Linked DNA regions of Oryctolagus cuniculus. The protein of the gene in region 1 interacts with the protein of each later gene in a pairwise test. Links are inferred from orthologs where the notes say so. Each region holds a gene or a part of one and is shown on either strand. Other genes may lie near its edges.

Evidence for each region. The genes of interacting proteins can lie anywhere in the genome.
Region 2: the proteins of DUSP12 (region 1) and serine/threonine-protein phosphatase 2A regulatory subunit B'' subunit beta interact in binary tests that used the Homo sapiens proteins (3 or more experiments, as listed by UniProt). The two-hybrid records come from large-scale screens. The link is inferred for Oryctolagus cuniculus from reciprocal best matches to the Homo sapiens genes DUSP12 and PPP2R3B.

The regions. Positions count from the first base shown.
Region 1 is NC_091438.1:37,038,968-37,049,086, forward strand, and holds the start of DUSP12 (dual specificity protein phosphatase 12), read right to left. Parts: upstream 8,835-10,119; 5' UTR 8,793-8,834; coding exon 8,449-8,792; intron 6,524-8,448; coding exon 6,410-6,523; intron 6,325-6,409; coding exon 6,206-6,324; intron 4,419-6,205; coding exon 4,322-4,418; intron 3,688-4,321; coding exon 3,507-3,687; intron 465-3,506; coding exon 303-464; 3' UTR 1-302. UniProt on the Homo sapiens protein: Dual specificity phosphatase; can dephosphorylate both phosphotyrosine and phosphoserine or phosphothreonine residues. Can dephosphorylate glucokinase (in vitro).
Region 2 is NC_091447.1:3,603,048-3,613,845, forward strand, and holds the start of serine/threonine-protein phosphatase 2A regulatory subunit B'' subunit beta, read left to right. Parts: upstream 1-3,692; coding exon 3,693-3,986; exon of another isoform or gene 3,987-5,721; coding exon 5,722-5,910; intron 5,911-6,331; coding exon 6,332-6,435; exon of another isoform or gene 6,436-6,691; coding exon 6,692-6,794; exon of another isoform or gene 6,795-7,018; coding exon 7,019-7,093; exon of another isoform or gene 7,094-7,327; coding exon 7,328-7,449; exon of another isoform or gene 7,450-7,544; coding exon of another isoform or gene 7,545-7,576; coding exon 7,577-7,631; exon of another isoform or gene 7,632-7,842; coding exon 7,843-7,999; exon of another isoform or gene 8,000-8,111; coding exon 8,112-8,160; exon of another isoform or gene 8,161-8,416; coding exon 8,417-8,506; exon of another isoform or gene 8,507-8,948; coding exon 8,949-9,124; exon of another isoform or gene 9,125-9,511; coding exon 9,512-9,633; exon of another isoform or gene 9,634-10,678; coding exon 10,679-10,779; exon of another isoform or gene 10,780-10,798. UniProt on the Homo sapiens protein: The B regulatory subunit might modulate substrate selectivity and catalytic activity, and might also direct the localization of the catalytic enzyme to a particular subcellular compartment.

The DNA of each region.
Region 1 (10,119 bases):
TTAAATAAATAAATCATGACTTTTAAAAACATGAAACAAATGAAGTGTTAGTATCATAAAAGATTTTACTATCATATAAAATTTATATGACTAAAAAACTTTGATTGCTATGTATTCTACTTACATCACGTAATAACCTAATAACAGGGCAGTTTCTAGGTTACTTCATGGGATTTTTCCCTTTCACACTGCAATTGAAATGTTGATGGCCTACAAACTAGACAACCTGCAGTGAGTAACTGAAAGCCGGGGCAGCATGTATCTTCAGCAAGGTTCCTTCCAAGATAGCAGATGTCACAAGTTCATATTTTTCTTGTTTGTGATCCCAAAACTGGCAGCATTTTCTTTTCATCCACTCTGTTCTTATGTATTTGGAAAGCAGGTGTTATCCATCTTCCACATGAGCACTGTTCACCATACCAATTGAAGGAACCCAATTTGGCACTGCATTTTGGACAAAGCAGCTGAAATAAAAAGCCAATGTATTACTTCATTTATTCACTTTTATACAAAACAAATAATTTTCTTTGGCAATATAGGATATAAGCACAGGCAAACATGGCCCCTATCTTCAAGGAGTTTGTACTCTAATTGGTGACATTAAATACATGAGGAATTTGCTGTATTATAGATGGTGGACTACAATTACTGCCTAAGAAGTATGTTGTACTCGGGCAGCTTAGAGGAAGAACAGATGGATCCCAGCTTTAGGGGAGAAAGGTGACATTTGAAACTCAAGGATGGCTTCAAGAATGTGGCATACATACTAGGTTTTTAAATCAACGTGTAGGGGCAGGCACCTGACACAGTGGTTAAGACATCACTTAGAACAGCCACATCTCATCAGAGTGCCTGTTTTGAGTGCCACCTCTGCTTCCAATTCCAGCTTCCTGTTATGGGTACCCTAGAAGGCAGGTGATGGCTCAAGTAATTGGGTCCCTGCCACTCATGTGGGAGATCCAAATTGGATTCTGGGGTCTTGGCCCAGCCCTAGCTGTTGCAGGTATTTGGGGAGTAGACAAATGGATGAAAGATCTCTCTCTTTTGGTTCTAGTTCCAGCTGCTCCTCTTCCAATCCAGCTTTCTGCTATGGTCTGGGAAAGCAATAGAAGATGGCCCAAGTACTCAGGCCCCTGCACCTGCATGGGAGATCTGGAAGAAGCTCCTGGCTTTTGATCAGCCCAGCTCCGATTGCTGTGGCTATTTGGGGAATGAACCAGCAGATGGAAGACCTTTCTCTCTATCTCTCCCTCTCCGTCAGTAACTCTACATCTCAAATAAATAAATAAAATCTCAAAAAAAAAAAAACTACAACATGAATAAAGAATGGAAAAGATTATTAGGATTCTCATGTTTTATTACTGATAATGATAGCATGTAAGTCAGATTCCTAGTGACTTAAAAACAATCAACTGATATTCCAGTAAAACAGATAAATCAAAGCTTTAGTAAACTGTATTTTCTTTCAGTGCAGTTATCACATTTTTTAGGTTTAGTTCTATAATTTGTACATGGTAGGAAGTAGGAATTTTTGCTTTTAATATTAAACTACAGGAAGTCCAGATTTAAAGCCCAGAAACCACAAATGAAAAAATAGACTACACAGTATCTTAAATTTTATTACAAAATATACCAAAAATTTGAGATAAGTAATAGACTAGGGAAAATAATTCTATTTATTAAATGAAGCATCTACATCTAGAATATATACACAGCTCCTACAAATCAGTAAGAGTAAGAAAATTCATAGAAAATAGGCCAGGGATGGTAAAGCAGTTTACACAACAAGAAACTATAGATGGGGCGGGGGGGGATCGGCGCTGTGGCTGAGCGGGTTAACGCCCTGGCCTGGAGCCCCGGCATCCCATATGGGCATCAATTCTAGTCCCAGCTATTCCTCTTCTGATGCAGCTCTGTGGCCTGGGAAAGCAGTGGAAGATGGCCCAAGTCCTTGGGCCCCTGTGCCCGAGTGGGAGACCAGGAAGAAGCTCCTGGCTCCTGGCTTCGGATAGGTGCAGTTCCGGCCATTGCGGCCATCTGGGGAGTGAACCATCAGATAGAAGACCACTCTTTCTCTCTCTCTCACTCTCTCTGCCTCTCCTCTCTCTGTGTAACTCTGACTTTCGAATAAATAAATAAATAAAAAGCAACTATAGATGGCTGGTAAATGCAAAGATGTCATCCTCGGCTGTAGTCATGAAAAACGTAAGATTAATATTTTCATGATACAGACTGACAAAACTTCACCAGTTTTATATATAACTTGCCCAGGGTATGAGGAAATGGGTAGATATTCACTGTTGGTGAAAACTAAATTTGTATGAGCATTTTGAATGTCAGCCTGGAATATGATTAATATTTAAAATGTATACAGTCATAAAGCCAACAATTTACTTCTAAGTGTATACCATATAAGAAAACTCAAATATGTATACAAAGAAATACGCACAAATAGGGTTTAGAATCTTTCACAAAAATATCATGTGTTTGTATATTTTCCAGGTTAAATGAAAGCAGCAAGCCAAAAGCATAAGTCACCAAAGAGCAATATTACAGTTCACCAAAATCTGAAACAATCACTGTAAATACGATCATCAAGAATGGGAAATGAACGCTAATGGATATATCATTTTAAGGGTCATGAGAATAGCGACAGTTGCAAAAAACTGTGAATATACTAAAAGCTGTTGAATTCATTATTCTAAATTGGTGAACTGTATGGTATGTGAGTTATACTTTAACAAAGCTGTTTTTTTAAAAAGTAACAAAATCTGAAAATGTGCATTTGAATATAGGATACTGTTTTTAAGTAAAATACTCAGTAAATAAATGAAGTTTCCCCACATATAAAGTATGACTGTATCTGTTCTACCACCTTTATAAAGCCATTTTATTCCAATGACATGGAATAAGAGTTTCAATAAATATCCATTATAAAAACTTTTCTACAAACTTTTAAAATCACTATTAAAATTATTTCTATAGAATGCCTGCATATTAATATCAAAAACTTAAACCTAAAGAAAAAAGTGGCTGTCACAGGATGTTATGAGTTGTATTCTTGGACAGGAAATGAAAAAGAATCTCGTAACAAACATACTAAATTGAAAGATCAGAAAAAGAGAGAAATGCATGGAATTAAGAAAGAAAAAGAAAGGGAAGACATTTTAAACCAAATTTAAAAATTCCTGAGGTAACCTACTTGTTACAAAGTTCAAATTTTATAAGATATTAATTTGTTTTAAAGTAATATTTGTTTTATATTTGAAAAATATAAATAGACTTAAAAGAAACTTATTAACTTAGAGTAGCAACTCTCAACTACCATTTAAAATCAGCTGATCTTTAAAAATATTTATTTTTGACAGTCTGATCCACACTAGAAAAATATAATCTTCATAAAAGAAAGGGATTAAGATGGAATAAAACACTAGTTAAAATACAAAAAGGAAGAAAATACAGATTGTACAATGAAATTGTAGAAAAAATAAGAAATGTATTCTGACCTGCCCATCCATCACTCCCAACAAAGCAGATTCCATCCACTGTACAGGTTCAATGAAATAAGATGTACACTGAGTCCCTGTGGCAAGCATGAATGATGGTGCCATTCTCTTGTGGGCAAAAGCTATAGGTCCACTTCCTTCACTGTGACCCAAAATACTTGAACTTCGAAATAAGGATCGCCTGCAATTCCCAAACAAACATATTAATCAAAAGGATTTTTTTTTTTTTTTTTTTTTTTTTTTTTTTTTTGACAGGCAGAGTGGACAGTGAGAGAGAGAGACAGAGAGAGAAAGGTCTTCCTTTGCCGTTGGTTCACCCTCCAATGGCCGCCGCTGCAGCCGGCGCACCGCGCTGATCCTGGCAGGAGCCAGGAGCCAGGTGCTTTTCCTGGTCTCCCATGGGGTGCAGGGCCCAAGCACCTGGGCCATCCTCCACTGCACTCCCTGGCCATAGCAGAGAGCTGGCCTGGAAGAGGGGCAACCGGGACAGAATCCGGCGCCCCAACCGGGACTAGAACCCGGTGTGCCGGCGCCGCAAGGTGGAGGATTAGCCTATTGAGCCACGGCGCCGGCTCAAAAGGATTTTTAAAATAGATAAAATGTACAGTATTTCTTCAAGGCCAAAATAACACAACATCGATTATACTTAAATTTTCAATAACCTCTACAATTTGGTGTTTTTAAAACTTAATTCTTAAAAACAAATTTGAACTAGAAATTTCTGTATTATTCAATTCAACAAATTCTTCCTACAGAGATATAAGAAAATGATATGCTACGTCCTTTTCAGCTACTGAGAACACAAAATATTTTACCTGCACTTTCTACACTTGTAGAGAACTTCATCTTTCAGTCCTTGTGAAACAGTGGTTGGGTCAACAGCAAAGAGTTCTTGAGGTAAACTCTGCAATTCTATGACACAATTAAAACGCATCCATTTGTTATTATCAGCTTGGTATTTTCAGATAAAATTCTGTTTGTGTTTACTGTGTTTGGGATATAGCTTGTGTTCCGTTAGGTGGGAAGTTAGACATTAGTCTATGTGCATTGAGGGGCTGAAGAACAAAAATGAGAATTTCATGTGGTTGAATGAGGGAAGGCAGAAGCATGCCTTCGAAGCAGACCAGCATTTGTGCAACAAAAGTCTTGCCCAGGTCCAACAGCCTTATTAGGTGGCTCCCAGCCCTCCCCCAAAGGGGCATCCTAGGGAACACTTCCCCACCCTATACCAGGGCTATTAGGTCCGGTAAAGGGTGCTAATGAAGTCCCTGGAGGAATTTCACAGATTCCCTCTGACCCCGCCCCAGTCTCCCTGCAGACTGGGCTCTCAGTTCTTTGCTGAGTTCCCCACCTGGACTGTCAATTGTATTCTCTTCATTAAACCTCACTAGCATGCTTACTGCTATTCTCTGTCTCATGTCTTTCTTGACCTCTGATCCAGCCATCCTGGGCCACTCCGCACAATGGTCCACATGCTGGAAGCTTGGCTCCCAGTGTGACAATGTTGAGAGGTGGTGGAACCTTTAAGAAGTAAGACCTAGTAGGAGGTTGTTAGGTCACTGTGGCCGCTGCTCTTGGAAAGGATTAATGTAATTATTGCAAGACCCTGGTTCACTCCCAAAGAACAAATTATTATAAAAGGAGCAGGCCTGAGCTCCTAGTCGATTGCTCTTCTGCTGATCTCACCTGTGATTGTTCCTTCTTTCTCGCATACACTCCCACCATGTGAATTCTGGGTCCTGATGGAGTCAGAAGGCCCTCACCAGAGCCAAGCAGAAGCTGGCACCATGCTCTTGGACCTTCAAAACTGTGAGCTAAATGAACTTCTTTTGTTTACAAAGTACCCAACCTCAGGTACTTTCTTATAGCAACAGAAAATGGACTGATACAATGTCAACTGAACAATCAAGTGCTAACCTCAGAAATCAAAACAAAAACAAATTATAGTGTCAGAAAATCAGGATGAAGTTACAAAGCACAGTGATTAAGCTCTTGGCTTGAGTTCAAACCCAACCCTGCCATTTACAAACCACCTGACCCTGGATAAGATTTCTGGCTAAACTGCAATTTCAAAAGAAAACAATTCCTATCTCATCTGATTGCTAGAAAAATGGGACAATGTATTTAGTGTTGTTGGGCAAGAAGTCAGATATTAGCCTAAGGATGAGAGAGAGACTGAAGAACAAAAATGTGAATTTCCTGTTGTTGAATGAGGGGAGAAATGTAGAAACATGCCTCAGAAGCAGACTAGCACGATAACCTTGTTAGGTGGGTTCCAGCCCTCCCAGGACGGTTACTACTTAGGAGAATCTTCTCCACTCTGCCCCAGGAAAATTTTAGATCCAATTACATGGTGCTGATAAAGTCCTAGGAGGATCGTCACAAATTCCATGCCCGGGAAGCCCTCCACCCACCAGTGTTCCAGAAGAGGAAGGAGGGAGAAGAAATGATCGCTCCGTACGCAGAACTCCCACCTAAGGCAGACGGCGCTCAGTCCTTCGCTGCAATGCCCACCTGGCCTGTCAGGTGTACTCCCATCACTAAACTTTGCTCCCTTGCTTACTACTACTCTCCGCAGCATGTCTGAAATTCTCTTCTTGCTAGAAGCAAGGGTCTCTGATCCACAGGTCTCTGGTAAGTGTCAGGGTAAAGGACATCAGGAAAGCACTCTGCATACACTGGCAATTAAGGTTACTTACCTGGATACTTCTCTGTAACCTTTTGTAAACGATATTGCTTATAAATCGCACTAGAGGTATCCACTTCATATCCCATTGCCTGGTATAATTTCAGTTGCCACTCAAACCCTTCGTTCATCCTGAAATGACAAAGAAATATAAAAGCCACAATTCTTTAAATAAAGCTACATCCCAAAAGCAGCAATATTACAATGAAGAACTCACTTAGCCTCTGGTTTGATGGTCTGGAGGTTCTCGTAGGCTTCTTCAAAGCTAAGCTTGTCAGTCTTCATCACAAAAGCTGTCACTATCGCCACACTTCGACTGACTCCTGCATGACTGAAAAAGAAGCCTTCAAAATAAAATAAGCAAATAGCAACAATTAAAAAAAAAAATCCAGCCCCTCTATTAATGGCAAAGTTCCAATCCACTTCATTTCTACTTCTATTCAAATAAACCCATTACATCTGAAATACTACCAATGTATGAACAAGTTATCATCATTTTTGAAAGGCAGAGAGAGAGCTTCTATCCTCCACCATTTGGGACAACCCATGGGTGCCAGGAACCCAATTTCTTGGTTCATCACTGCAGCCTCCCAGGGTCTGTGTTAGCAGGAAATTGGAGTTAACAGAAAGAAATCAAACCCAGATACTCCATGTGGGATGTTGGTGTTTCCGCTCCTATTTCCTTTTTCATTTTAAATTCTGAACTACGAGAATGTATCTCACCTATTCAAACTTAATCACTCTTTTTTTTTTTTTTTTTTTTTTATGTTGTGAAGCCTTTGTAACAAATGAAAATTCTTTTGCTCTTAGCATTAAGGGCCTGGAGCTCTGGTACCAAACAGGATCCAATTTAAAAAAAAAAAAAAGAATTTAAGCCGGCACCACAGCTCACTAGGCTAATCCTCCGCCTTGCGGCGCCGGCACACCGGGTTCTAGTCCCGGTCGGGGTGCCGGATTCTGTCCCGGTTGCCCCTCTTCCAGGCCAGCTCTCTGCTGTGGCCAGGGAGTGCAGTGGAGGATGGCCCAAGCACTTGGGCCCTGCACCCCATGGGAGACCAGGAGAAGCACCTGGCTCCTGCCATCAGATCAGCGCGGTGCACAGGCTGCAGCGCACTGGCCGCGGTGGCCATTGGAGGGTGAACCAACAGCAAAAGGAAGACCTTTCTCTCTGTCTCTCTCTCTCACTGTCTACTCTGCCTGTCAAAAAAATAAAAATTAAAAAAAAAAAAGAATTTGTTTATTTATTTATTTGAGACGTAGAATGAGAGAGAGAGAGAGAGAGAGAGAGAGAGAGAGAGAGAGAGAGAGAGAGGGGCACAGACACAATGTGGTCTTCCATCCACTGGTTCACTCCCCAAATGGCCGCAAAGGCTGGAGCTGGGCCAATCCGAAGCTAGGAGCCTCTTCTGGGTCTCCCATGGGGATGTAAGGGCCCAAGCATTTGGGCCACCTTCTACTGCTTTCCCAGGCCATAGCAGAAAGCTGGATTGGAGAGGAGCAGCCGGGATTTGAACCGGCGTCCACATGGGATGCCCACGCAGCAGGTAGAAGCCTAACCCACTATGCTACAACGCCGACCCCAGGACCCAGTTTTTTAACTACCTTCCTTTCTTTGTGTAAATATTGAGAACAAGTGGTTGACACACAATAGTTACTCAATAAATTTAAAACTACTGCAACCCAATCCAAACAGCGCTACCTAGGGATACCCAAATATCCATCAAGAATTTATCTTTTTGCTTTTGCTGCAACTTACCCACCCCAACTCTCCCCTAGGCAAGGCCCAGGGGATCCTTCAGATCCTAACCAATTCTCCCCTTCATGAGCACCCTGCCCCCACACACACCTCACACAAAAACAATTAGAAATGATCTGCCGTTCCTCTGAAGTCTGAATACTTAACCTGAGCACATACTCTATCCTAGGTTGTGTTACAATCATTGGGGTGGGTGTTTTGCCTCCTAAGGAGCTGTAAAAGCTTGAGGCTGTAGGGACTTTGTCATTCATCTGATGACTCCTCCCATCCAACCACCCCAAAACAATTCAGTTGCTACTGAATGAACCAAAGCATGAAAGAAGGAAAGCACGCGCGCCAGCAGTGGCCCGCCTCCTGCTCCTGCCCCTCCCTCCCCCTGGAACACACACCCCTGCGGGAGGGAGTGGGAGGGGGTCCCCTCCCCTAGGGGCCTCGGAGTGACAAGGAGCAGGCTGGGAGCAAAGTCAGGCTCCTCTCCACCCCCCTACCCGTCCACTCACCAGTGCACCAACACTGCACGGCCCTCAGAGCGGGCCTGGCCGATGAAGGCCACGCACCGATCCAGGTGGCTGAGCAAGTCAGTCTCGGGTTTATCTAGCGCCGGCACGAAGAGGCTCCGCAGACCCTCGACCCCAGCCCCCGCCTTGAACCCGGGCTCCTCCGAGTCCACCGTCAGGATGGCCGTGATCCCCGCCTCTCTGAGGTGGTCCGGCTCCGCCACGGCCGCGGCTCCACCCAGGTACAGCCCTGGCCGCACTTCCAACATGGGCACGGCGGAGGCGGTCGGGCTCTCGCTCGGATTCCGATCCTGGAAGCCATGGCTGGGACTCTGAGATTCCAACATGGCGGCCCCCGGAAGCCAGGCCGCTGCGGTCTCTACCACCGAGTGGCCGCGGGCTGGAACATCCCTCCCCGGGACCCGTCGGCCTCCGCGACTCAATTGCGCCCTCGGAGGACCACGTCGACTGCCGGAACGGGAGCTTGGGAAAGGGGAGACAGTACCAGGGCTCAGGAGCAGTTAAACTCCATTCAGAGTGGCCTTGCGACCCATGTTTTCCTCGTCGCCTCCAACGTCCTCAAAGGCAAGTGTCTCTCTGGTTTTTTCTGGGGAGATTTTCAGGAAAGGGGCGACAAGACAGGTAAAGTAAATTTGAAATGAGAGTCCCACCGTTTCAGGTATTTGAAGTAAAACCTGTTAACCGTGTGTATAAAGCTGTTTGCATTTCTTCCTTTTGTATTTTTGCCTTTTTTTTTTTTTTTTTTTTTTTTTTTTTGCTTATTTTTTAGTTGAGGTGAATCGCTTTCGTGCATTTGTGTATCAGTTCCCTCAGCCAAAGACCATCAGGGACCCACCTGTAGTTAAGCAGTTTGGTTCTTATTCAACCATGAACTATGGACATTTCCGCTTCATCTCAGCAAGTCGGTGTTAGGGACATTCCATCAGAGGATGCGGCTTGTATTAGGTGATTTTGGAGAGAGTTTGAGTAAGCTAGGCTTTGCGCTAGATTGGATGGTGTCAGGAAGCAGGAGCGATTCCATGTTTATTTACGGGGAGAGCAGGCTAGACAGACACTAGAGCTGTAATTGGTCAGTAACTAGCAGTTAAATGGTTCTGGTGTAAAGGCTGGTACATATCAACAGAACAGAATGGGGCCCAAAAAATAAACCCTCACACATATGATCAAATAATCTTTAACAAGAGTGCCAAGACCACAGAAAGGAGAAAGACAGTCTCCTCAGCAAATAGCATTGGGAAACGGAATATTCACATGCAAAGGAATGCGACTGTACCCTTGCTTTACACCATATACAAAACATTGCTCAAAAGGGTTAAAGACCTAAAAATGCAAAACACTAGCAGAGTTTCTAGAAAAAGCACAGGGGGGAAAGTTTCATGCATTGGATTTAGCAAGGATTTCTTGGCAGTGGTACCAAAAGCACAGGCAAGAATCAAAATGGATAAATAGGGCTACATCAAACTTAAAAACGTATATGCTGGGGCTGGCACTGTGGCTCACTTGGTTAATCCTCCACCTGCGGTGCCGGCATCCCATATGGGCACTGGGTTCTAGTCTCAGTTGCTCTTCTTCCAGTCCAGCTCTCTGCTGTGGCCCGGGAGGGCAGTGGAGGATGGCCCAAGTGCTTGGGCCCCTGTACCCATGTGGGAGACC
Region 2 (10,798 bases), on another chromosome or scaffold:
TAAAAGTGAAATAAAATAAAGTAAAAGGAAATCATATAGCATAGCATAATATAACATGAAATGAAATAATGAAATAAAAAAGGAAATAAAATAATATACCAGAACATAGTATGATAGAAAATAAAACAAAATACCATTCCACAACATAATAAAAAATAAAATACAATAAAATAACATAGCATAACATAGTATAAAATAAAAAATAACATGAAAGAAAATGCCATGGCATAAGATCATAAAAACTAAAATAGCATCCCATCCCATAATAAAAAATAAAATAGCATGTAATATCAGACCATAACATCATAAAAAATAAAATACCATATTATAAAAACTAAAATACCATTCTATCCCGACATATAAAATATCATCCATGTCATAAGAATGACATAAAATGCCATCCCATGATTTAATCCAAATGAAATAAAATACCATGAAGTCATAAACAATGACATAAAATAAACTGACATCCCATGATGTCACAGCACCCAACCCTCTGGGCAGTACTGGCTGTGGCCGGCCCTCCTGGGAGCAGTGGGCGGAGCTTCCCCACCTGGCCCCACCTCTTGCACTCACCCAGGTGAGGAGGCCTCTCCAGGGAGGGTGCCATGGGAATGTCCTTGCAGGGGGGCCCCCTGCACTCCCCTAGAAGTCCAAGCAAGTGAACCTGTGATTGAGAGCTTCTCAGCCATGTGTCAATCACTTCTGACAGGCACCTGTCACTTTATTTTTATTTACATTATTCTTTTTAAATTTTTTATTTGACAGGCAGAGTTAGACAGTGAAAGACAGAGAGAAAGGTCTTCCATTGGTTCACTCCCCAAATGGCCACCACAGCCGGCGTGCTGCGCCGATCCAAAGCCAGGAGCCAGGTGCTTCCTCCTGGTCTCCCATGCGGGTGCGGGGGCCCAAGCACTTGGGCCATCTCCACTGCCTTCCCAGGCCACAACAGAGAGTTGGACTGGTAAAGGAGCAACCAGGACTAGAACCCAGCACCCATATGGGATGCTGGCGCCGCAGGTGGAGGATTAACCAAGTGAGCCACGGCGCCAGCACATATTCTAATTATCTTAATTTATTTTTTATCTTATTTCATTTCTTTTTTATCTTAAATTTATTTTATTCCATTTATATTGTATTTACTTCATTTAATTTTATTTAATTATATCTCATTTAATCTGATTTCATTTCATTCTATCTCATTTATTTCCTTTTATACCATTTTATAATTTTCTTATTTTATTTCATTTATTCAACTTTATTATGTTATATACCATTTTATTCATTTATTGCATTATTTATAACTTATTGTATTTATTTTATTCTATTTTTATCTCATTGTATTTCATTTATATAATTTTATTTATACATAAATATTTAAAGATTTATTTGTTTGAGAGGTAGAATCAGAGAGAGAGAGAGAAGTCTTCTATCCACTGGTTCACTCCCTAAATGACAGCAATGGGCCAGAGCTGAGCTGATCTGAAGCCAGCAGCCAGGAGATTCTTCTGGGTCTCCCTCGTAGGTGCAGGGGCCCAAGGACTTGGGCCATCTTCCACTGCTTTCCCAGGTCATAGCAGAGAGTTGGACTGGAAGAGGAGCAGCCAGCCTGGAACAGGCGCCCATATGGGATGCTGGCACTGCAGGTTGGGGCTTTAACCTGCTGCGCCACAGCACCTGCCCCCATTTATGTTGTTTTAACTCATTTTATTTTATTTTACTGAATTTCATTTAATTAATTTACCTCAATACATTTATTTTGTTTTATTCCATTTCTTTTTACTTCATTTTATTGCATTTACTTCATTTCATTTAATTTCATGTATTCCCTTTCATCGTATTTATTTATTTCACTTCATTTTAATTTATTGCATGGATTTGTTTACCCAGAGCCACTGGATACACACTGAATTTTTCTGGAAGCTTTGTGTTTTGATTGGCAAGTGTTGAGCCCTGGGGAGCAGACTGGGTCCCTCCTCAAAAATCAGCTGTAGACAAAAAATTATTCAAGAAAATAATTTTTTCTCTAAAAAATTAAAGTATATATAAATACTGTATGCAAAATTCAAACCATATGCAAATCCTAATTCAAAACACATTAATATCAAACTATATGCAAATCATGCAGGTAAAAACCCAAACTATATGTGAATAACGTATGCAAAAAAGTATATGCAAATCCTATATGAAAAACCAACTACATGCAAATATTATGTCCAAAAAATCACATACTACCTTTGAAAAAAGTATCAAAAATTCAAATTAGATGCAAATACTTAATCAACGATACACCTAACAATCAAATCATATAAAAAATCAAATTATATACAAATCATGTATGGAAAAAATAGAACATGCAAATTCTGTATACAAAAAGTCAAAATATATGCAAATATGTCCCCAGATGCATACAATTAACTATATATAAAATTTGTATTCAAAAATGCATGCAAAATTCAAATCATATGGAAATATTGCCTGCAAAAAATGCATCCAAAAATTAAATTATATAAAAACATCAAATTATATGCAAATACTGTGTCCAAAAAATGCATCAACACATCAAACTGTAAGCAAACAGTGAATCCAAAAAATGCATTCAAAAATAAGTTTATACGCAAATGACTGCACAACATGCCTGAAATAAACTACGTGCAAATCCAGCTGCTCTCCTTTGCCTTCTGGGACACCTGCAGCCGGCAGCGGAAATCCACGAGGGTACCTGCCTTCCTTCTCTCCCTCCTCTTCCCCGTTTCTCATCCCAGAAAGCCGCAGCAAAAATCCCTGATTGACAAGGATTCGTGTGGCAGTTTTCAAGAGTATTTTTTTTTTTTAATTTTTTTTCAAAAAGTCCCAGGGAGGAGCAGAGCTTAATCCGGAAGCGCGTGGGCGGATTCGCCGCGCTGTCAATCACTAGGCGGCGCGAACTCGGCACCCGCCCGCTTCGCCCACGCTGCAGGGGCGCGCTCTGGGACTCTGCCCGCCAGCTCCAAGCTTTAACAGACTCCCCGGGCTCGGATCTAGGGGTCTCCGCCGGCGGCCCTGACTTCCAATGCCGGGCCCAAGGTTTCATCGTCACTCACTGCTGGGCCAGGTCTTTAGTGGACCCCAATTCATTTTAAAATCCAAGTAGTTTGAAATCCTACTACACATAAGCCGCCTTACTGGCGCAGTCCCGGGGACACACACTGCGCATGCAACTAACCATAGTCTTTCAAATCCTGCGCGCTAGCCTAGCTGCACATCGCGCATGCTCACTCCTATGCCCGCTCTCGCCCAGGTGTTCCCCTTCTCAGCGGATCGCATCGCGCATGCGCCAACGAGCAGCCCGGTTTCCCTTCGGAGCCTTGCTTCAGCAGCACGTTCTGCGCACGCGCAACCCCACAACAGCGTCCTTCCTGGACGTACTGTGCACGCTCCTGCGGCACCCCCTCAGAACACCTCAGGTATCCCAAAAAGCCATGAGAGCTGGGATGCCGGTCGCTTCCTAAGCCTCCGGGACATTCCCGTTAGCTTCAAGTAATGGCAAATGGGGCTAAGAAGTGAGACACAGGAAGGGAAAAAAAAAGCGTCGCGGCCCTGTGACGTCAGGCAAGTGGAAGCCGTGACGCGCGTCGCCGCTGGTTCGGGGCAGCCGCGAGTTCGGAGCGCGCGGTCCTTGGTTTTGTGAGGGAAGAACGGCGGCGGCCGTCATGTCGCCGGGTAAGACGCTCCAGCCCGTGCTGAAAATGAAGGTGGACGAGCTCTTCCTGCGGTGGCTGAGCGAGGACGCAACGCAGCGGCTGCTCCACGAGTGCCTGCGCGCAGTCCAGGCCCCTCAAGGCGCTCCCAACGTGGCCGTCTCCGCGGATGCCGCGATGCCTGCGCCCGCCCCGGGAGGACCCGGACCCCCTGCCGCTCCTGCCGCCCCTGGACCCCGGCCCGAACCTCACAGCCGCAGAACCCGCAGACCCGCTGTTCGCAGAGGCGGGCGCGGCTGCGCGGAGGTAAGGCCTAAGAGGAGGGTGTGCCCTGATCAGGTGGGCGTGGCCTTTGAGGGGCGTGAGCGGGCTCTGTGGGAGAGTGAGCCTGGCCTTCACGGATGAGCGTGGCCTGTTTATGTTGGGTGGACTGGCGTGGCCTCTCTGAGAAGTAACCCCGAGAACCAATACTGCTTTGGAGGCTGCAGGACCATTTTGGGCGTTGGCCACATTGGGTGGTAGAGAGGAGGGGGTGGCAGGAGCCTAAGTCGGGGGTGGGGGCGGACAGGGGCTTCATCCGTGGAGCGAATTCCCGTGCGCGTGGCGTGTTGTGTTGGGTGTGGCCCGTGGCTGTGGGCTGGTGAGGGGCTTGGAGGAAGAGAGGTTCCCTGAGTTCACCGGGGCCAGACCCCAGTGTTTTCCTTCGGGTGTGTGGGGGGGCGGTTCTACAGCAAGGGGCACTGTTTAACAGTTGCTTCGCCCCTGCGCCAGAACCTTAACCCCTAAAAGAGGAGGTTCTATCCCAAGTTGTGGGTCCCTGGAGATTTTTTAATTCCTTAAAAGAGCCATCCTTGCTAAGAAGTGATTTTTTTTTTGTTTTTGAAAGCTGGAGTGCCTGGTGATGGACAGATGTCACTCATATCAGGGTTGGCTGTGGGGACTCATGAGAAGGAAGCAGAGATGCTGAGTTGTCACTCATGGAGCAGGGAATCATGGGAAGGGATGCTGAGCTGTCACTCATGGAGCAGGGAATCATGGGAAGGGAATGGAGGCGCTGACCTGTCACTGATCATAGGCTCATGGAAAGCAGCAGACACTGAGCTGTCATGGAGCAGGGGTTTACCTGCTACTTCCAGCCCCGCCTCTGCCCCTCCCCTAGATGGGTTTCTGGGGTCTCTGGCCAAACGCAGGTATCCTAGGCCCAGCCATGGATAGCCAGGGTGTTGGGGTCAGCTGCTCTGTGCAGCCTGTGGGCTGAGGGCTAGGCTAGGCTGTCCCTTTGGCTGTTGATCGCAGGCTGATCTGGGCTGTCAATTAACCTTCTTGGGTTTGGAGTTTATCCCAAAGGCTGTGGGTGGGTCTTTCCTATCCCTGCTGTCTGTCAGCCTAAGTGGTATGAGGATGATGAGGACTATGTGTCTGAGGAAGATGAAGAGGGGGCCGTGACCACTGCTGGGTCTCTTCGCAGGGCCCACTGATTGTGGTTCTTGGAAGTGGGTTCTGGCCCTGGCCCTGTTGCAGGGATTATGGACAGCTGTCAATCATTGCCTGTCTGATATGGAGTGGCAGGTTCCCAGGTGGATGCTGTGGGGCCAGCAATGGGCTCCTGGCAAGAGGGGGTGGGGCAGCTGTCCATCAAATCTACTTTCTGTGGAGGTAGGGCCCCATCCACCGATAGCCCTGGACGCTCAGGGACAGCCAAAGGCAGGGTCAGCACAGCACGGGGTGGCTCTGCATTCCAGTTCTCACTGCCCAGGCTCAGCAGGGGAGGGGCTTGATGTGGGACTAGGGTCTCTGGCCCTGCTATGAGATTGAGAGTTCCCAGGCTGGAGTGACTGGTCTCAGGTGGATTGGCGGGTCCCAGTTTGGCCCCAACAGCTCTTGGCTAGAGTGACAGGTCCTGGGCAGGAATGACAGTTCTAGGGATGGAGTGGCAGTCCGTGGGCAGTCGTGGGCAGTGATGGTCAGTGCTCAGCAGCTCAACAGGGGTGGCTGGGGCAGGTCGCTGGCCACTAATGCCCCCTTCATCCATCCCCCACAGGTGCAGACGTGGCCGGAGCTGCAGGGAACTCCAGGACTCTCGGTGGGTGGGATCCCCACCTTCTACTTCCCGCGCGGCCGCCCAGTGGGTCCTGTCAGCAAGGATGGGGCCATACGTGCCGTGGAGACTGCGTTTGCCCTGCTCCCACTGCAGCGCGCCCGCCTGGAGGACATGGGCAATGTGGCCAAGGTTGGTGCCAGGGATGGGGCGGGGGCTGGGCTTGTGGTGCTGGAGATTGGGCTGGAGGCCAAGGGCGGGGCCTGCGAGACCTGGATGTGACCAAGGTGGGTGCTGGCCTGGGGATGGGACAGCCTGTGCCCTCCCTGTGGCTGGGTCGCTTTTGTCACTGCTGACCAGAGTGGCATTGCCTGTGCCCTCTCTGTTGCCGGGCCCTTCCTTCACATCTCTGCTGTCTGACAGCATGAGTGACACAGCCTCTGCCCTCCCTGTGTCTGGATCCTTCTTCTCCCTGGTATCTGGTTCCTTCCTTTCGCTGTTGTCTGTCGCTGTGAGTGGCACAGTCTGATCATTCCCTGTGACCAGGCCCTTCCAGTCGTTGCTGTCTGTCACCCTCATTGGCAATCTCAGTAACTGCCTGGTGGTGTTCCAGGCCTGTGGCTGCCCTTTGTACTGGAAGGGACCCTTATTCTACCGGGCTGGGGGCCGCCGCGGGGGATCCGTGTCTGTGCATACCTTCGTGGCCATGTGGCGCAGGTGAGTCCCAGGCATGCAGGGTAAGCAGGACAGGGGGCGGGCCTTGGGGATCCTACACCTGCTGGGCAGGAGAGTGTAAGGGGGGTGGGGCAGGGCAGGGCTTCCTCCAGGGGGAGTCCTGGGCAGGCCCTGCCTCCCCAGCTGCAGTAGCCAGAGGAGACCCTGGCTCTGCCTCCCACATGTGATTGGCAGAGGGGACCCAGGCCCCACTCCCACCTCCTGGGGACGGGGCTCCGAACGATGCTGATGCTTCCAGAATCCTCCAGGACTGCCACGATGAGGAGGCCAGGTTCCTGCACCTGCTCGCTAGTCCTGGGTGCGACTTCTTGGAACAGGAGGATTTCGTCCCCTTCTTGCAGGTGAGCACCCTGCCCCTCCCCCAGTGGGAGGTACACACGTCACACCTATCAATCACAAACCTCATACCTTTCAGTCACAGCTGTCAGTCACAGGTTATACCGCATACTTGTCAATCAAGTCACACCTGTCAGAGGGGAGTTCGCACCTCACACCTGTCACAGGGATGTCTTCACCTCACACGTGTCACACACCTCACACCTGTCACTCACTTCCTGTGTCCCAGGATGTGGTAGAATCACACCCTGGCCTCGCCTTCCTCAAGGAGGCACCTGAGTTCCACTCCTGCTACATCACCACTGTGAGTACCCCTGACCCCAAACCCAGTGTGATACCCAAACCCTGCCTGTAACCCCTGACCTTGCAGTGACCCCTGACCCTGCCTGGGTCCCCGTCCTGGGCAGTAAGAGGAATACACCTGGGTATAAGTTCGACTGTGCTGGTCAGAGTCACCCTGTGAGTGGCAGCTCCTTGTGAGTGGCGGCTCCTCCCGCCCTCTGTGAGTGGCAGCTCCTCCCTCCCTCCCCTGTGACAGCTCCTCCCTCCCCTGTGGCTCCGCCCCTTATGGGGGCAGGTCTCTCGGGCCATCTGCTCACTGCTGCCCTGGACTCAGGTGAGAGGATGCCCTCAGGTGAGGACAGATGAGAGGACACTCAGGTGAGCACAGGTGAGGATGTCTGCCAGCCACTGCCAACACGCCACTGCTGGTCCCGCCCCCTGCTAGCCCCAGCCCCACCCCATCTGCCCCGCAGGTCATCCAGCGGATCTTCTACGCTGTCAACAGGTCCTGGTCCGGGCGCATCAGCTACAATGAACTCAGGAGGAGCCACTTCCTGCAGGTGGGGGAAGTGGGAACCACCTACCATGATGGGAGACCCCGCCTCCTGGGAAAGGAGTCCCTGCTCCCAGGACAGGAGACCCTACCCCCAAAGAAGATTCCACCCTTAGGACAGGAGACCCTAGTTCCCCACCCAGCAGGAAAACCCACCCTCCACAACCTGAGGTCCTGAGCCCCACCTCGTTCCCATCCTGAAGCCCCGCTCCCCGCAGGTTGTGGCGCGGCTGGAGGAGGAGGCGGACCTGAGCCTGACAAGCGGGCTCTTCTGCTATGAGCACGTCTATGTCATCTACTGTACCTTCCGTGAGCTTGACACTGACTGCGACCTCCTGCTGGGCAACTGTGACCTGGCCCGGCACCGCGACCACGGTCGGGGACCCCAGGGACCCCAAGACCCCTTCCCAGGGACCCCCCCCATGCCGACCCCAGCCTCCTGCCCTGCCCTCTGCATGGCTCACAGGCCCTGCCTCTTCTTCCACAGCCATCTCCGACAAGATGATTGACAGGATATTTTCAGGTGCTGTCATGCGGTAGGTGGGGTCCCCGGCGGGGGAGTAGAGGTGATGCCATCGTGTTGAGGGATGACATGGGTGATGACATCACAGATGATGGCATCACAGGTATTCATCACACCAGATTGGGGCAGTGTGGACAGCACTGGAGGGGGACTCAGGGCCAGCACAGGACTCCTTGGGTTCCCCATGTGGGGCTGGACAGGGATACCCCCAGCTGGGAGTGGCCCATGCTGAACCTGCCTGTGTGTCTGCTGGCTACTGCTGACCACAGGGACAGGACGGCACAGAGAGCAGGGAAGATGAGCTACGAGGACTTTGTGTGGTTCCTGCTCTCCGAGGAGGACAAGACCACGCCCACCAGGTGGGTCTGAGGGCCCCCCTTGCAGGCGGATAGTGGATGACGCTGGACACCATGGGCTCACTCCTCGGCCCAGGGTGTGGTCTGGGTCAGGAAAGTGGTCAGCTTGGGTTCTGTGAAGTCAGCAGTGTCCATGGTGTGGCCAGTGGTAACTTTGGGGTTAGTATGGTCAGCAGTGCCCACTTGGTCAGCTCAGGGGATCAGTGAGCAGAATCTTTTGGGTGATCAGTGGTCACATTGCTGTCAGTGTGGTCAGCAGCATGGTCAGGGATCACTCCACGGTTAGTGTGGTCAGCGGCTGACTGCCATCTCCCTTGACAAGGCAGCATTGAGTACTAGTTCTGAATGGACCTGGGTGGGGACTGTGTCCCTAGTGTGGTCAGTGGTCACTCTGGGGTCAACATAGTTTATTCCCCTACTGACTGCCACCTACCCAACTGGGCAGCATCGAGTACTGGTTCCGCTGTATGGACCTAGATGGGGACGGGGCACTGTCTGCCTTTGAGCTTGAGTTCTTCTATGAGGAGCAGAGCCGCCGACTACGCAGCCTGGACGTCGAACCACTGCCCTTCCCAGACTGCCTCTGCCAGATGCTGGACCTGGTTCGGCCAAGGACCCAGGGTAGAGACCCGCCCCTTCCCTTCCCAGCCCCCACCATGGAGGTCCCTTCCCTTGCTGGCCCTGCCCCCTCCCCATCTCCAGGGTCCTCAGTGGCTGAGATCCACTTACCAGGTCCCAGCTGTTTGCCCACAGGGTCTGGAGGGCGTTGCTGGCGAGTGGTCCTGCAGTCCCCTCTGGCCATGGCCAAGGCGTCTGGGTTATCCCCCTCCACCACGTCCATCCCAGCATCCAGGCCTCCTGTGCCCCTGCTGCCCAGCACCTGCCTGCATCGTTTACTCTGATTTCTCTGAGGCCTCTCTGGGTCCACATGTACATCCCCCACGTCTGGCCCTGGCCCTGGCCCTGGTGTCCAACCCCACATCCATGCCCTTGCATCCACCCCCATAGGCCGCATCACGCTGGGCGATCTGAAGCGGTGCCGGCTGCTGGCGCCCATTTTCTTTGACACCTTCTTCAACGTGGACAAGTACCTGGACCGTGAACAGCACGAGCAGTTGGCCCTGCCCGGGGTGAGGCTGCCTGCTGACCCCTGCTGACAACTGACTGCTACTGACCACAGACACCACTGACACAGGGAGGTGGGAACTTCCTGAGGAAAGAAGCTCCGTTGGCCTCTATCACCCCGCTGCCTGGCAGCAGAGGGGGTCTGAGCAGGCGGCTCCTTAAGTCTAAATTTCTGGCTTTGCTTGCCATGTCTCCAACCCTCGGCAGTCCCCTCATACCCATGGCTCCCTGGGAAGCTGGGCGGAGCCAGTGAATTGTTTTTTAAGCCTGGGGCCAACAGGGTCTTCTATGACCCAGGAACCCTTTGACCCCCTAGCCCTCAACCAGGGCATGGAAACAGGAGCCACTGGGGGATGGGCTGGCCTTTTGGGGTCACCATGATGGCCGATGACCTTGTCAATCACCCATTAACTGGCATGAATTTTTCTCGGTCTTCTTCCTCCTGGTCTCTCTTACAAAGCTGACCTCGGAGGTGGCCATGAGGACTTCAGCTGAGGGGGTAATGCTTGGTCCCACCCCTAATCGTTTTTATTTAATATTTCCTGGAATATCAGGAAAGTAATGGTCATGGCTAGATTCTGTCATTTTTTTGTATTTTCCATGTGAATTAAGATGATGCCCAGGAGAACTATGTGCTTGCAGCTCAGAGCTGATGTGCTAAGCTGCCTAAATGTTGATGTCATCATGACATCATGTAATAGTTTGATGTTATTGGAACTAGAGGCATCACTAGTAGCATATTGGCATCTTGATGTCATCATGACATTATCTATATTATGACATCAACAACACTTCCTATCTGCCCATCACTTTGGCCAGGCATGATGGCAGAAGGATCTTCCTCACTGCTTTTGTAAATCTGATGACTGATGACCTCTGCTGACCGCTGACCACTGCTGTCCACTAACCAATGCTGACTACTACTACTCACCAATGACCGCTGCCAACCAATTGCTGATGGCCCCTACTTGACTGCTGCTAACCATTGACTGCTGACCTCTACTGACCAATGACTGCTGATTACCACTGCTGACTGCATGCCTCCTGCAGGACGGTGATGGCCCTGAGCTGTCAGACTGGGACCGTTTCGCAGCCGCCGAGTACAGACTGCTGGTGGCCGAGGAGGCAGCAGCACAGCTGTGGGAGGACGGGTTAGTGCTGGATGGGGGA